2 linked regions of the Callithrix jacchus genome follow. The protein of the gene in region 2 interacts with the protein of the main gene of each other region in a biochemical or structural test. Links are inferred from orthologs where the notes say so. Each region holds a gene or a part of one and is shown on either strand. Other genes may lie near its edges.

Region 1 (7,153 bases), on a different chromosome or scaffold from region 2:
ACAGACCCAGCATATGGAACATAAGCAGAATAGACACTTCTGTTCAAAAGGGGGAAAAACAGGAGTGACAGCTGCCACTGGGTCATAGTAATTCTGAAATCTAGCCAGGTACCTGATGCCAGCTCCTCAATTCGAGTCCCCTCCTGCTCCCTGGAAATGATTATCTGTAGCTCCTGGCTCTACCCTCTTGGCTCATAGGTTTCTTCTAAGCCATCCTTTCTTTCCCACAGGAAATACCCCATGTTTACATCTGAATAGCCTTCTCAGAAGTCCTCTTAGAAGGCTGGGGGCCCACATGTCCCATTTAACTTTTGTGCTCTGCCTTTTCTGGTATAGTAGTTGTCCCTTGTTATTTGTGGTGGATTGGTTCTAGGACTTGGATACTCAAATCCTGCAGTTGGCCCTGCCAAACCTGGGGATGAGGACTACTGCATTCCTAGTTGCTACTTTATCTTCAAACCCAGAATTTTGATTGGCTGCTGAATGGGGTGGAATTATCATAACTCTTGGCCTTCGAAACTATTTTCAGTTTCCATTCCCTTGAATACTCTGTAAATTGTACATATTGAGCTCCTACTACACCCTAACACTGTTTCAAGAATCAGGGATTTATCTCAGTGAATGAAACACAAAAATAGCTGCCCTTATGGAGCTGCCATTCTAGTGGGGAAGGCAGACACTATGTAAATAAGTGAGTAATATAAGAGGAAAAACTTTGGGAGGCTGAATTATTATTCAACACCAGGAGTTCAAGACTGCCTGAATAACATAGTAAGACCTCCTGTTTACATGCAAAAAAGGAGAAAAGCAGTAAGGGAGATGGCAATTTTTTCGTGTGTGTTGTGGTGACAGAGAAAGGGACTTCGGTTTTAAATAGGGAAGGCTATTTTACTAAAAAGTTTACTTTAAAGTCAAGACCAGAGGAAAGTGAGGGAGTGGCCAAGCAGATACCTGGAGGAAGAGCTTTTCAAGTAGAGAAGTACAACTGCAGTGGTCTGATGTAGATGTGTGCCTTCTCTTTTCTTTCTTATTTATCTTTTGGAAGAAACAGTCTTGTTGTGTTGCCCAAGCTGGTCTCCAACACCTGGGCACTTGCAAAGTGAAAGCAGAGAAAGAGTAGACTTACTCCAGAGGCAGATGGTATGCAAGGCCATTTCAGAATACACATAGAGAAAACAGGAGAATAGATTGTGAGGTTTTTGGGGAAAGAGCCAATTTTAGTTGAAAAAGGGGGAACCCCAGACAATGTACCATCTCAGGCTTGAGACTGCTCGCCTAGCTCCTAAGATTTTTTTTTTTTTTTACCCAGGCCCTTCAACTCCTGAGATCTTATCGAGAAGCTGCTGATAGCCAGCTTTGGGTGTTTCTATCTATTGGGAGACTGCCTCTCCCCAGGTCTGGCTGCAACCACTTATTGTTTTAGAGTGACAGCTTAACAACCACCTGACCACTACCTGATGGTTGCCTCACATTGCTGGTGGGGGAGTGGCCCATCTCCTGCCCTGCTCAGGTCTGACTACTTATCTACTGTAACAGTTGCAAGGTTTTTGGATGGAACAATTGAAAGAATGGAGTTTGAATGAACCAAGATAAAAAATGACTATGAAAGGGCATTGTTGAAGATGTGGACAAAAGTTCTGAGTGGATCCTGATGTGTTCAGATGGGGCTGGTGCTTGCGAGGCGGCTCCATGCTTGCAAGAAGAGTTCTACTAGGTCCATCTTTGTCACATCTTCTTTAAGACTAAGTTCAGAGAGGCTTAGCTATTTTTCCATTTTTGTGGGCTGTCTCTTCTGCCAGACAGTGTCTTTCTTTTAAGTGTCTCTATCGCCGAGCCACACAATTGCTGTAGTCATTTACAGTCTACTAGAACGATAACACACATTGGCATCAGACAGACCTTGGTTCAAAACCCTGCTCCACCAGTTTCTGTGTTGAGCTAGACCAAGTGACCTGATATGCTGGGTCTCAGCTTCTTATTTGTAAAATGGTGATACTAATCTTTGCTTAAGTGGTTAAAGTAAGGATAAATGATGCCTTCCGAAGAAGGACACAACTGGAATGGCCAGTTTACCCCTCGTCCTCTCTTCGCTGGCATTCTTTATTCTGTAGTAAGGACGGATGGCTGAGGGAATCCGTCTGCGGGTCCAACATGGCGCCGTCCTGCTTCTTGTACGAACCTCAAAGATGGGGACTATCTCCTGGGAGCAGACATGTTTGTAGCACGTGACCCAGGCTCAGGCACGAGGCAGCCGGAACGTGACGCAAGGTTGAGGCGGGGCTCCACCTCCTCACCCTGGCGTCGAGCGTCTCGTGACAGGTACTTCCGCTCGGGGCGGTGGCGGTGGCGGAAGTGGGAGCGGGCTTGGAGTCTTGGCCATAAAGCCTGAGGCGGCGGCAGCGGCGGAGTTGGCGGCTTGGAGAGCCCAGGATAGTTCGCTGGAACTGGAACTTGGACTTCCCCGCTTTTGTCCTCCGTTGAGTCTCCTCCTCGGCGGGAGCCCTCGCTACGCGCCCGGCCCGGAGCCCCCAGCGCAGCGGCCGCGGTAAGCAGCGGGCCCAGCCCGGCCGGCGGCCTGGCCCCATCCCCCTCTTCAGCCCCTCGGTCGCCAGGGCCTCGCGTCCTCCCTGTCCTCCTGGGCAGACTCCGGGCCCAGCCCTGGCCTCGCGGGGAAACTCGGCATCGCTCAGGTCCCTGGAGCAGGCCCGGACCCCGCCCGGCTTGGAGAGGTCGGAGGTCGTCGGGTGTGACCTCTGGCTGGGTTTCCGACCCCGGCCGCCAGTCTCGGACGCTCTGTTTACTGTTGGTGTCGATCTCAGAGACCCGAGAGGGTTCCCTGACTTGGGCGGCCCTGCGCCGCGGCAGGACGCGCTAGCCGGTGGAGTTCCTTAGCGCGGCGAGACTGAGGGTGTCGGAGCCCACCCCGCCCGCCGCTGTGCCCACCTGGCGGGCATGGGTCACAGGCGCTTGGGCCGAGCCGCGCGTTCTCATCCGGCTCTTCAGTTGAACAGCCTGACCCTGTTAGTGGGAGAGGTTCCCTGACAGCAACTGAGTCAGGGCAGTGAGTCAGGTCACGTGCGCTGGGCTCGGCTCGGTACTTGTGTACATTGAGGTGCCTCTGGCGCTGGGAGACGGGGAGCTTTTTGTCATAGGCATGTTACGGTAAATCCTGAGGTAAGTTTTTCAACTTATTTGAGGAAAGATGGTAGTTGGATGCAGAGTTGTGTTTCCATTCCGACCGTGTTGGGGGCCTCTTTCTGCATTCATTTTAGTCTTGTTACCTATGGTTCATAAGGGGAATATTGAGAATACTGACAGCAAATATTTGAGCGTTTATTGTATGTTAGGCAGCGTGGCAAGACCTTTTAATAGATCATTATGTTTACCCTTTGTTGAAAGAAAACATAAATCCTCTGAAGTACCACTGTTGTGCCCACTTAACAGTGGGAAGTTGAAGAACAGAGAGGTTAAGTCATTGGACCAAGGCCACACAGCCAATAAGTTATGAAGCAGAGTTTCAAGCCGAGGCAGTCAGAGTCCAGAGCAGTGTATTCAATTTCTAGGTTATACTGCTTTCACTTGCCCCCAAAGCTTGTGGTTTATCTTTTGCCACCTGGTATCTGTACCTCACTGCCTCCCACCACCTCCTTTCTTTCTGTTGATGTCATTCGAAAGTCTTTCATCAGTTCTACCTTAAGGCTATAAGAAATGCCATTTGCGACTTATCACACATGTTGTGGTGTACTATCACCGAATTAGGAGCTCTTGAATACTGGCAGGGTACTTAATTGAGGTTTGAAAAATTTTGCACGTAGGCCTGGCAAGCCTGCTTCGTGAACCTTTCTTACAACCTTAGTTGATGGCTGTCCAGCCAGTTGGTTCTTTACTATTGAAAATACTGCATCTTTAGTTTCCTAAAGAACAGGCTCTTGTCTCTTCCTTGTGACTTAAGCAGCTGATGAGGCACATGATTTCTCATCCATGGATTAATAAAATCTCCTCTTAGTGTGTTTCTCTCTTCTTACTTGGGAAGGTTTGTTCAGATTTGAGTGTAAGAACTGGAAGGTGAGTTAGGAGTACTTCTGAAGGGACTGGCTAAGCTAAAGCTTAGTGTTCACAATCCTGTTGTATTCAAATGTGTCCTTTTTTTTAAACTTTGCTACCCAGCCTAAAATATTTAAGTGAGTAATAAGTACTGTAGCTTTATATGATGTTTGAGTTTAGAGGAGAGTAATGATAGGCACCTTTTTATTCGTTCATGAAGTATTTTGAGTATTCATTGAGTATCAGCAATGTATCAGGCATTGCGGGATATTGACTCAGGGAGATAGGCATGGTTCCTGTCCTCAAGGAATTTTTAAAAGGTGAATGATCTTGGCCAGAAATTCTGTTGTGGAATGATTTGGTGGCAGAACTCCAGGCTTTTTGAAAGAGTTATTTTCTCTTCTCTGCTGATGAATCAGTAGTAATCCAAAGGCTGGTGTTCTGGCTAACTTTAAGACTTCGTTAATTTCAACAACAGCATTTGTATATAAGGCTTGCTCTCCAGAGAGTGTAGAAGATAATATTACAGTTTCTAATTAATCTCATCTTTTAAAGAGTAACCTTCAGCACTCAACTTGTTTCTCCTTTTGCTCTAGTGGCATTTTATTTAATTTTTTTTTGAGATGGAATTTCGCTCTTGTTGCCCAGAGTGGTGTGCAATGGTGCAGTCTCAGCTCACCACAACCTCTGTCTCGCTGGTACAAGCAGTTCTTCTGCCTCAGTCTTCTGAGTAGCCGGGATTACAGGCATGCGCCACCATGCCTAATTAATTTTGTATTTTTAGTAGAGGTGAGGTTTCTCTATGTTGGTCAGGCTGGTCTCGACTCCTGACCTCAGGTGATCTGCCCGCCTCAGCCTCCCAAAGTGCTGGTATTACAGGTGTGACCCATCTTGCCTGGCCAACTCTAGTGGCATTTTTTGTTCACTCAAGAGGTAGTCTGTGTCACTGCCATTAATGTTGCACTGCAGTGTCTTTGAGCAAAGATACATTTGGCGTGCTGGATTTTTTTCTTCAGCTGGGAAGAAGGTTTAATGTAGCACTGATACTGTACCAGCCATAGTTTCAGTACCATTCTAGGTAGAAAAGCTGTGCTGCCCTATCTTCCACAACTTTCCAGATTCCCTTCTTTAAGAGATTTGAGTTTTACATTTGTGGTAAAACATTAGTAAACAGAAGGGCGGAATACAGGAGATATTTTAAAAATAGTTTTATTAGTATATCCTTCTAGGTAGTTAGCAACCACCTGGGGCAATTTTGTTTTTCTCTCTTTTTTTTTTTTTTTGAGACGGAGTTTGGCTCTCGTTACCCAGGCTGGAGTGCAATGCCGCAACCTCCGCCTCCTGGGTTCAGGCCACTCTCCTGCCTCAGCCTCCTGAGTAGCTGGGATTACAGGCACACGCCACCATGCCCAGCTAATTTTTTGTATTTTTAGTAGAGACGGGGTTTCACCATGTTGACCAGGATGGTCTCGATCTCTTGACCTCGTGATCCACCTGCCTCGGCCTGCCAAAGTGCTGGGATTACAGGCGTGAGCCACAGCGCCCGGCTTTTCTTTTTTTTGTGCCAACTGTGCCTAAGCTCCCAAACCGTGTAATCAGAGAACAGTGCTTGATAGTAAAATGTGACTTCGAATCAGTTTTCTGACCTCACTGCCAAGTGAGGCCAAAAAGTTTTGCTTATTTGATTAGCTTTGAATGCATCCTCAAAGAGATCTTCACTAATAATGTTTTTGCTCTTACATTTGGCATTAGCCTTTGTATGCAAAGATGTAGCAAACACAGGCCACACAAATATGACAGTTGTCTTATGCACATTCCTCTCTGGCATTTCACACAAATATTTTAGTTTTTCCTATGATAAAATATCTAACTCCCCATTCATATAATTGAACAAATACAGCTGAAATAGATTTGACCAGATATTGGACTTGGAGCTGTAGGCAGGCTTTTCGTAGGGAGGTAAGGTTTAGAAGTCCTCCTGAATAAGACTAAACAGAGATTCCCCTTGGCACTAAATGTCTTCTTCTGAAGGCAACTGAAACTCTAGAAATGAACTCCCCACCTCCCTGTGTATTTTTTAGCTATTGGCTTTCTGTTGATGACTCTTAGCTCTCATTGTATTCTGGCATCCATTCCTTTGTGTTACTGCATGCTTATCTGTTAATATTATCTAATAGATCTCTATGCTCCTCTGCAGTTTGCTGCAGAAACATTGTGCGATGTGTTGATCTTTTCAGTTATTTGCTCTCACTTCTTCCCTCTATTCTGTTTTTCCCCTTACTCTGTAAGGCATTAAAGGCAAAAATAATTTGTATTTGTGTTTTAAAACTTATTTTTAAAACATTTCTTAATGGCGATTGTGGTCACTGTGATTTGTGAATCAGAGGTAAAAGTGATGTGGAGAGTGAAATCAAAACAGGCTTTTTAGCAGTGTCTGTTACCAGTTTCAATTTTAGTATCTGAGGCTGTGATTACAAGAACATATTTAAGAATAGCTACTTGCAAAATATCTCCTTGGGGGAGGAAGAAAGCTTGGAAATTGGTTCCAATGCTGACCTACAGTATTGGCCTTGTTCATTTGCTTGAAGATGTAGTACTTAATTCATGGGGCCTGGAGTCTCTGTTTTGGTGATTTCATCACTGCTGAGGAGATCAGTTTGCCTGATTCTGTTGTCCACTTCTGGTCTCTTGGAGCTGCCTACAGTTGGGACCAAGCAAATCCAAGGAAGCCTATTAGGGGAAGCCTGGGAACAGGGCAGTTTAGGAATTCTCCAGCCTTGCTTGTCTCTTAGTTGGTCTTACTTGTATGGCTACTGCCAGAAAAAGAAAAGGTTCTCTCTTCTCCCTCAGCCTTTCCTTTCCAGCTTTGGTTCTTTCTCCTGGGCATTAACCATTTCAGAACAGGAGTCCTTTAAAAATTACTTAGTGAAATAAATAGTTATATCATATATTCCAATATTGGAATATAAGTGTAATAAAAAGTTGGTTTCCATTTGATAAACTTTTTAGTTTGAATTATTTGAGAGTGCATAGTTACAAAGCTGCTGTGCATTAACCTTAAATAACCCAGCATAAACTTTATGAAAAACAGCATCCCTTGTATATGATA
Region 2 (5,939 bases):
ACACACACACACAGTGGTAACTCTTGGTGGTGATGGACATGTTAACTTGATTGTGGTAATCATTACACCCTATATATCAAATGACCTTGAACACCTTGAATATGTACAATTTTTGCCAATTAAGTATTAAAAAACTTTTAAAAAATTGTCTGTAGTATTTGGCATGTCCAAAAACATACCCTCGAAGTTTTTTATTCTGTTACCCTGTTGCTGCTAGGTTCTGGGACCCAGGGGAGGCTTAGCTTGCTCCCTGGTGGGCTGTTCTTCCAGGCTGTTGGTCTCTCACTCAACCAAGAATGGGAGAGGGGACCATAGCGGGCGTAGTGCGCTCACAAGTAAATGTCGGACCCCAAAGAGTTGTTGCGGAAAGTGATGTATTTAGGCAGAGAAAGAGAAAGATAAGAGAGGAAAGCCTCCACGAAGGTCGTGGAAGGGGATCCAGACATGGAGTCCGGCCAGATGTGGGGACAGGGACTTGTAACCTGGGAGGAATTCCCACCCTATCCAAGCGCTTTGACATATGAAAGGGGTTCCTTTAAACTTCCGCTGGAGTGATTGGTCTTTGATTCTTTCCCGCGTGCGGGAAAACTTAAAGACCTCTAATTTCCTGCTGAAGAGGTCGGGAGGCATGGCACTGAGAAGTTCTTGCCCTTGAAACTGTGCCCCCTTGTGGACCCCGGGAGAGAATACATTCCCTCACTATCATACTAACAAGTTCAACTTAAATCTTGACATTTTTACTTATGTTATTATTAGGAATAATGAAAATAGCTATCATATATGTTGGCTTACTCTGATATTTTATAGATATGGAAGCCAAAGCTCAGATATTGAGTAAACATTCCCCAAATCACATAGCTGTTAAATAGTAGAGCCAGCATTTTTACTGAGGCTATCTTTTCAAAATCCATGAGATTAAACAAGTGCTATAGTCCTTCAAGTCCAGGGAATAGGAACTATATCAGAAAGCAAATGGTTGAGCAAACAGTGAGGAATTTTCTTCGTTTGAACAGTGACTTGTTAAAAATTATTATATGCGAAATGAGACTATACCAATATTACATATACGCTTGTTTTAGTCTGTACTCACACTGCTATAAAGATACTACCTAAGACTGTGTAATTTGTAAACAAAAGAGGTTTAACTGACTGACAGTTTCTCATGGCTGGGGAGGCCTCAGGAAATGTAAAATTACAGTGGAAGGCAAAGGGGAAGGAAGACATGTCTTAAATGGCAGCAGGAGAGAGAAAGTGAAGAGGGAATGGCCAAACACTTTTAAAGCATCAGAACTCTTGAGAAGTCACTATCACAAGAACAACATGGGAAAAACTGCCTCCATAATCCAATCACTTCCCACCAGGTCCCTCCCCAATACTTGTGAATTACGATTTCAGATGAGAATTGGGTGGGGACACAGCTAAACCATATCATTCTGCCCCTGGCCATTCACAAATCTCATGTCCTTTTCACATTTCAAAATCAGTCAAGCCTTCCCAACAGTCCACCAAAGTCTTAACTCATTCCAGCACTAACTCAAAAGTCCACATCCAAAGTCTCATCTGAGACAAGGCAAGTCCCTTCTGCCTATGAACCTGTAAAATCAAAGGCAAGTTAATTACTTCCAAGATACACTGGCGTATAGGCACTGGGTACCTGTTTCCATTCCCAATGGGAGAAATTGGACAAAACAAAGTGGCCATAGGCCCCATGCAAGTCCCAAATCCGGCTGGCCAGTCATTAAATCTTAAAGCTCCAAAATCTCCTTTGAGTCCATGTGGTCACATCCAGGCCATGCTGATACAAGGGCTAGGGTTCCATGCTCTTGGGCAGTTCCAACCCTGTGGCTCTGCAGGGCATAGGTACTGTGCCTGTTTTCTCAGGCTGGCATTGAGTGCCTGTGACTTTTCCAGGTGCGTGGTGCAAGCTGTTGGTGGATCTACTATTCTAGGGTCTAGAGGACAGTGGCCCTCTCTTAGCTCCACTAAACAGTTCCCTATTGGTTACTCTTTATGGGGACTCCAAGCCCACATTTTCCTTCAGCACTGTCCTAGCAGAGGTTCTCCGTGAGGGCTGTACCCCTGCAGCAGACTTGTGCCTGGTCATCTAGGCATTTGTAAACATCCTCTGAAATCTACACAGAGGCTCCCAAACCTCAACTCTTGTCTTTTATGCACCCTCAGGCCCAACATCACATGGAAGCTGGCAAGGCTTGGGGCTTGCACCCTCTGAAGCAACGGCACAAGCTGTACCTTTATTCCTTTTAGCCATGACTGGAACTGGAGCAGCTGGGATGTAGGGTACCATATTCTAGGGACACACAGAGCAGTTGGGCCCACCCAGCCTAAGAAAACATTTTTCCCTCCCAGGGAAGATCTCTGACATGCCCTGGAGACCTTTTCCACATTGTCTTGGCTGTTGACATTTGGCTCATCATTTCTTATGCAAATTTCTATAGCCAGCTTGAATTCCTCCCCAGAAAATGGTTTTTTTTTTTCTCCCACATGGTCAGGCTGCAAATTTTCCAAACCTTTATGCTCTGCTTCCCTTTTAAACATAAGTTCCTATATCAAACCATCTCTTTGTGAACACACATGACTGAGTGCTTTCAGAATCGGCCAATCCACCTCTCGAATGCCTTGCTGCTTAGAAGTTTCTTCTGCCACGTATCCTAAATTATCTCTCTCAAGTTCAAAGTTTCACATATCTCTAGGTCAGGGACAAAATGCCGCTAGTCTTTTTGCTAAAGCATAGCAAAAGTCACCTTTGCTCCAGTTTCCAATAAGTTCTTCATCTCCATCTGAATCCACCTCAGCCTGGATATCATTGTCTATATCTCTATCAGCATTTTGGTCAAAACCATTCAGCAAATCTCTAGAAAGTTCCAAATTTTCCCACATTTATGTCTTCTTCTGAGCCCTCCAAACTGTTCTAACCTCTGCCCATTACCCAATTCCAAAGTCACTTCTACATTTTCAGATTATCTTTATAGTAGTACCCCATTCCTTGTACCAATTCTATTAGTGCCTCTTACACTGCATAAAGATACTATCCGAGACTAGGTAATTTATAAACAAAAAAGGTTTAATTGACTCCCAATTCCACATGGCTGTGGAAGCCTCAGGAAAGTTACAATCATGGTGGAAGGTGAAGGGGAAGCAAGGCATGTCTTACATGGGGGCAGGAGAGAGAGAAAAGGGGGAACTGCTAAATACTTTAAACCATCAGATCTCATGAGAACTCACTGTCACAAGAACAGCATGGGAGCAGCTGCTCCCTTAATCCAATCACCCCCTAACACATGGGGATAACAATTTGAGGTGGGATTTGGGTGGGGACTCAGAACCAAACCATATCAAGGCTCTATAAGAAATCATACAAAATAATATTAAGGAAATTGTATTTCTATTGATATATAGAATGAATGTGTTTCAGTTCTCAACAGTTTGAACACTTGATAATGAACCTGATGGGGTACTGCCATCCTTGAAGAGTGGACCTGAATACGTGTATAGAATTAAAGGGAGAAGTCATAGAATTCTGAAAACAGACTTACAGAAGTTAACGTATACTGATAAAGTACTATAACCTGCTTAAGGGAATTTTAAAGGATAACACTGAATTTTTTAGTTAGTGCCAGAAATGCACACACATTTTAAACTGATTTCCAAAAATGATTTTATCTTTTCTTCATTGGCCAGGCTGAAACAATTTTCCAGGAAATCTGCCCCAGTGAAGATTTCTGTCCCCCTCCACCGAATCCTGAAGACATTGTCCTTGATGGAGACAGTTTACAGCCAGAGGCTAACTCAGAGACTCTCAAGGAAAGCACAAACCTTGGAAACCTAGAGGAGCCCTCTGAATAATGGATACATACTAAACTGAATACCCCACTTTGGAAATTTCTACTGGTCTCAGAGCCTGCTTGATAGAAGGACTGTTTGAAAAATGTTAGGAAGCAGCACCAATTATAAGGCAAAATAGGTAATAGAAATCCGAAAGGGGATTTTCCTGATAGAGGACATTCCAAAAACACACAACACGTATAAAGCACATTGACCTGCTCATTTTAAATACCAAACTTAAGTGACTAGCAGATGAAAATTATAAATCATTCGATTCTCAGGAATGTAACTATGGATATGAAAGTGATCCTATGCACTGTTAATAATTTAGTGGTTTTAGGACAATTTTGTTTGCCACTTTGGGTCTTTGTTGGAAAGCCACATTTTCAGAACCAGCTCACGTATTTTCTTTGATTATTTAAATTATAGTTTCTTTATTAATAACAGCATTATAACACAAGGATAAAAACATATATAGAAAAACTAAAGTATCATGATCTAGATAGAAGCCTGTATTTGGAATATGGGTTTGTTTTGTTTTGCTTTGCTTTCTCTGTTGAGAAGCATTGAAAATGCTAATATTAAGGTGTTTACACATTTTTATGAATAAGTCGGTAATGTTTTCTTTTTAGTATCAGTGATATTTGTTTGTAAATTATTTACATATTGGGAAGGGTCAATAATAAAGAAATGAAAGAATGGAAGGAAAGGCATGGATAGACTCACTGGTATTTGGATGTTCTGTCTGTCAAGTAACTAGAGTACTAGGCTAATTGTCTACAGACCTAATTTAATCCTGGCTCTCCTACTGATGATATTTGGTAAATTGTTTTAACTTCTTGGCCTATGTTTCTCCATATATAGTAGTACCGTGCCTACTGTATGACAATGGTTATGAAGACAAATGCAGTGCCATCTTTAGTATGGCATCACTGGAAGAAAATTGTTTTAGAATTTTCCCATTGACTTGATGAATATCAAAAGTCTCACGCAGGAAATAATTGCGTGCTGTCAGCTTCAAACAAAATAGATCACAGCATTTTTATTGCATTAAGCTTTTTAAATGAAAATTTCTTTTTTTAATTAGTATTTTATAGTCTTACAGATGAGTAAAAATAGTAACAAGTAGAGTTGTGGTTTTGAAATCTGACTAAGGAAAACACTCTATAAATTGTTCCTGTTCCTTTTCTGGTAGGTAAACCTGCAACCACCCAGGACTTCAAATTGAGTGTGACAGTTGGTAAGCCCTAATATACATGCTACATAAAATTTTAGGGCTGCCAGTAATCCCAGCACTTTGGGAAGCTGAGGTGGTTAGATCACTTGAGGTCAGGAGTTTGAGACCAGCCTGGCCAACATGGCAAAACCCTGCCTCTACTAAAAATATAAAATTTTAGCTGGGTGTGATGGTAGGCACCTGTAACCCTAGCTATTTGGGAGGCAGAGGTTGCAGTAAGCTGAGATTGTGCCACTGTACTCCAGCCTGGGCAACAGAGCTAGACTGTCTCAAAAAAAAAAAAAAAAGTTAGGTCTGTACATAGGCAGCAAACCTAGCTACAGTGACGTTGCCTATATTTAAGTTTTCTCAAATGGCCAAGCTCTGATGGTCTACTTTATCTGAGCAATAGTTTAGTCTTATAATTGCCTGTAAATAAATAAATGAACTCTAAATTTTTTTTTTCACAAGATACAGCCCATATTGTCTATCAGTAAGCCATGGCTCCATTGTAAAGCACATAGTTCTTATATACTTCAAGTGGAGCTGGTCCCTGACCTCACCAGGTTTCAGAAATGTTCTTAAAGGAAGCTAGCTGTAGCATGTCACAGATTCATGGGATATGAAAGAACCAAGGAACATAGCTCATGCCTCTCCTTTCTACCCCCTGCAGATATAGTTGAAGCCAGAATAATGGAAGAACTAAACTTACTGGCCTCTCAGGCTGCTCTTGTTCCTACCTCCCAGTGTACAGCTCCTCCCCATCTCTTTAGTCTCCTTTCCTTCGCTTCCCCTTTTATAATGTCACATAAATCAGGACAGTAGGATCACGTTATAACCTACTTTGTCACAGGGATTCAGATTTTTCTTATATCAAATT

Evidence for each region. The genes of interacting proteins can lie anywhere in the genome.
Region 1: the proteins of CHM (region 2) and RAB7A are reported together in a solved structure, tested with the Homo sapiens proteins (2 studies listed by BioGRID, with this or other methods). The link is inferred for Callithrix jacchus from reciprocal best matches to the Homo sapiens genes CHM and RAB7A.

Annotation. Positions count from the first base shown.
Region 1 is NC_133516.1:73,418,039-73,425,191, reverse strand, and holds the start of RAB7A (ras-related protein Rab-7a), read left to right. Parts: upstream 1-2,351; 5' UTR 2,352-2,545; intron 2,546-7,153.
Region 2 is NC_133524.1:83,293,737-83,299,675, reverse strand, and holds part of CHM (rab proteins geranylgeranyltransferase component A 1), read left to right. Parts: intron 1-3,699; coding exon 3,700-3,864; 3' UTR 3,865-5,939. UniProt on the Homo sapiens protein: Substrate-binding subunit of the Rab geranylgeranyltransferase (GGTase) complex.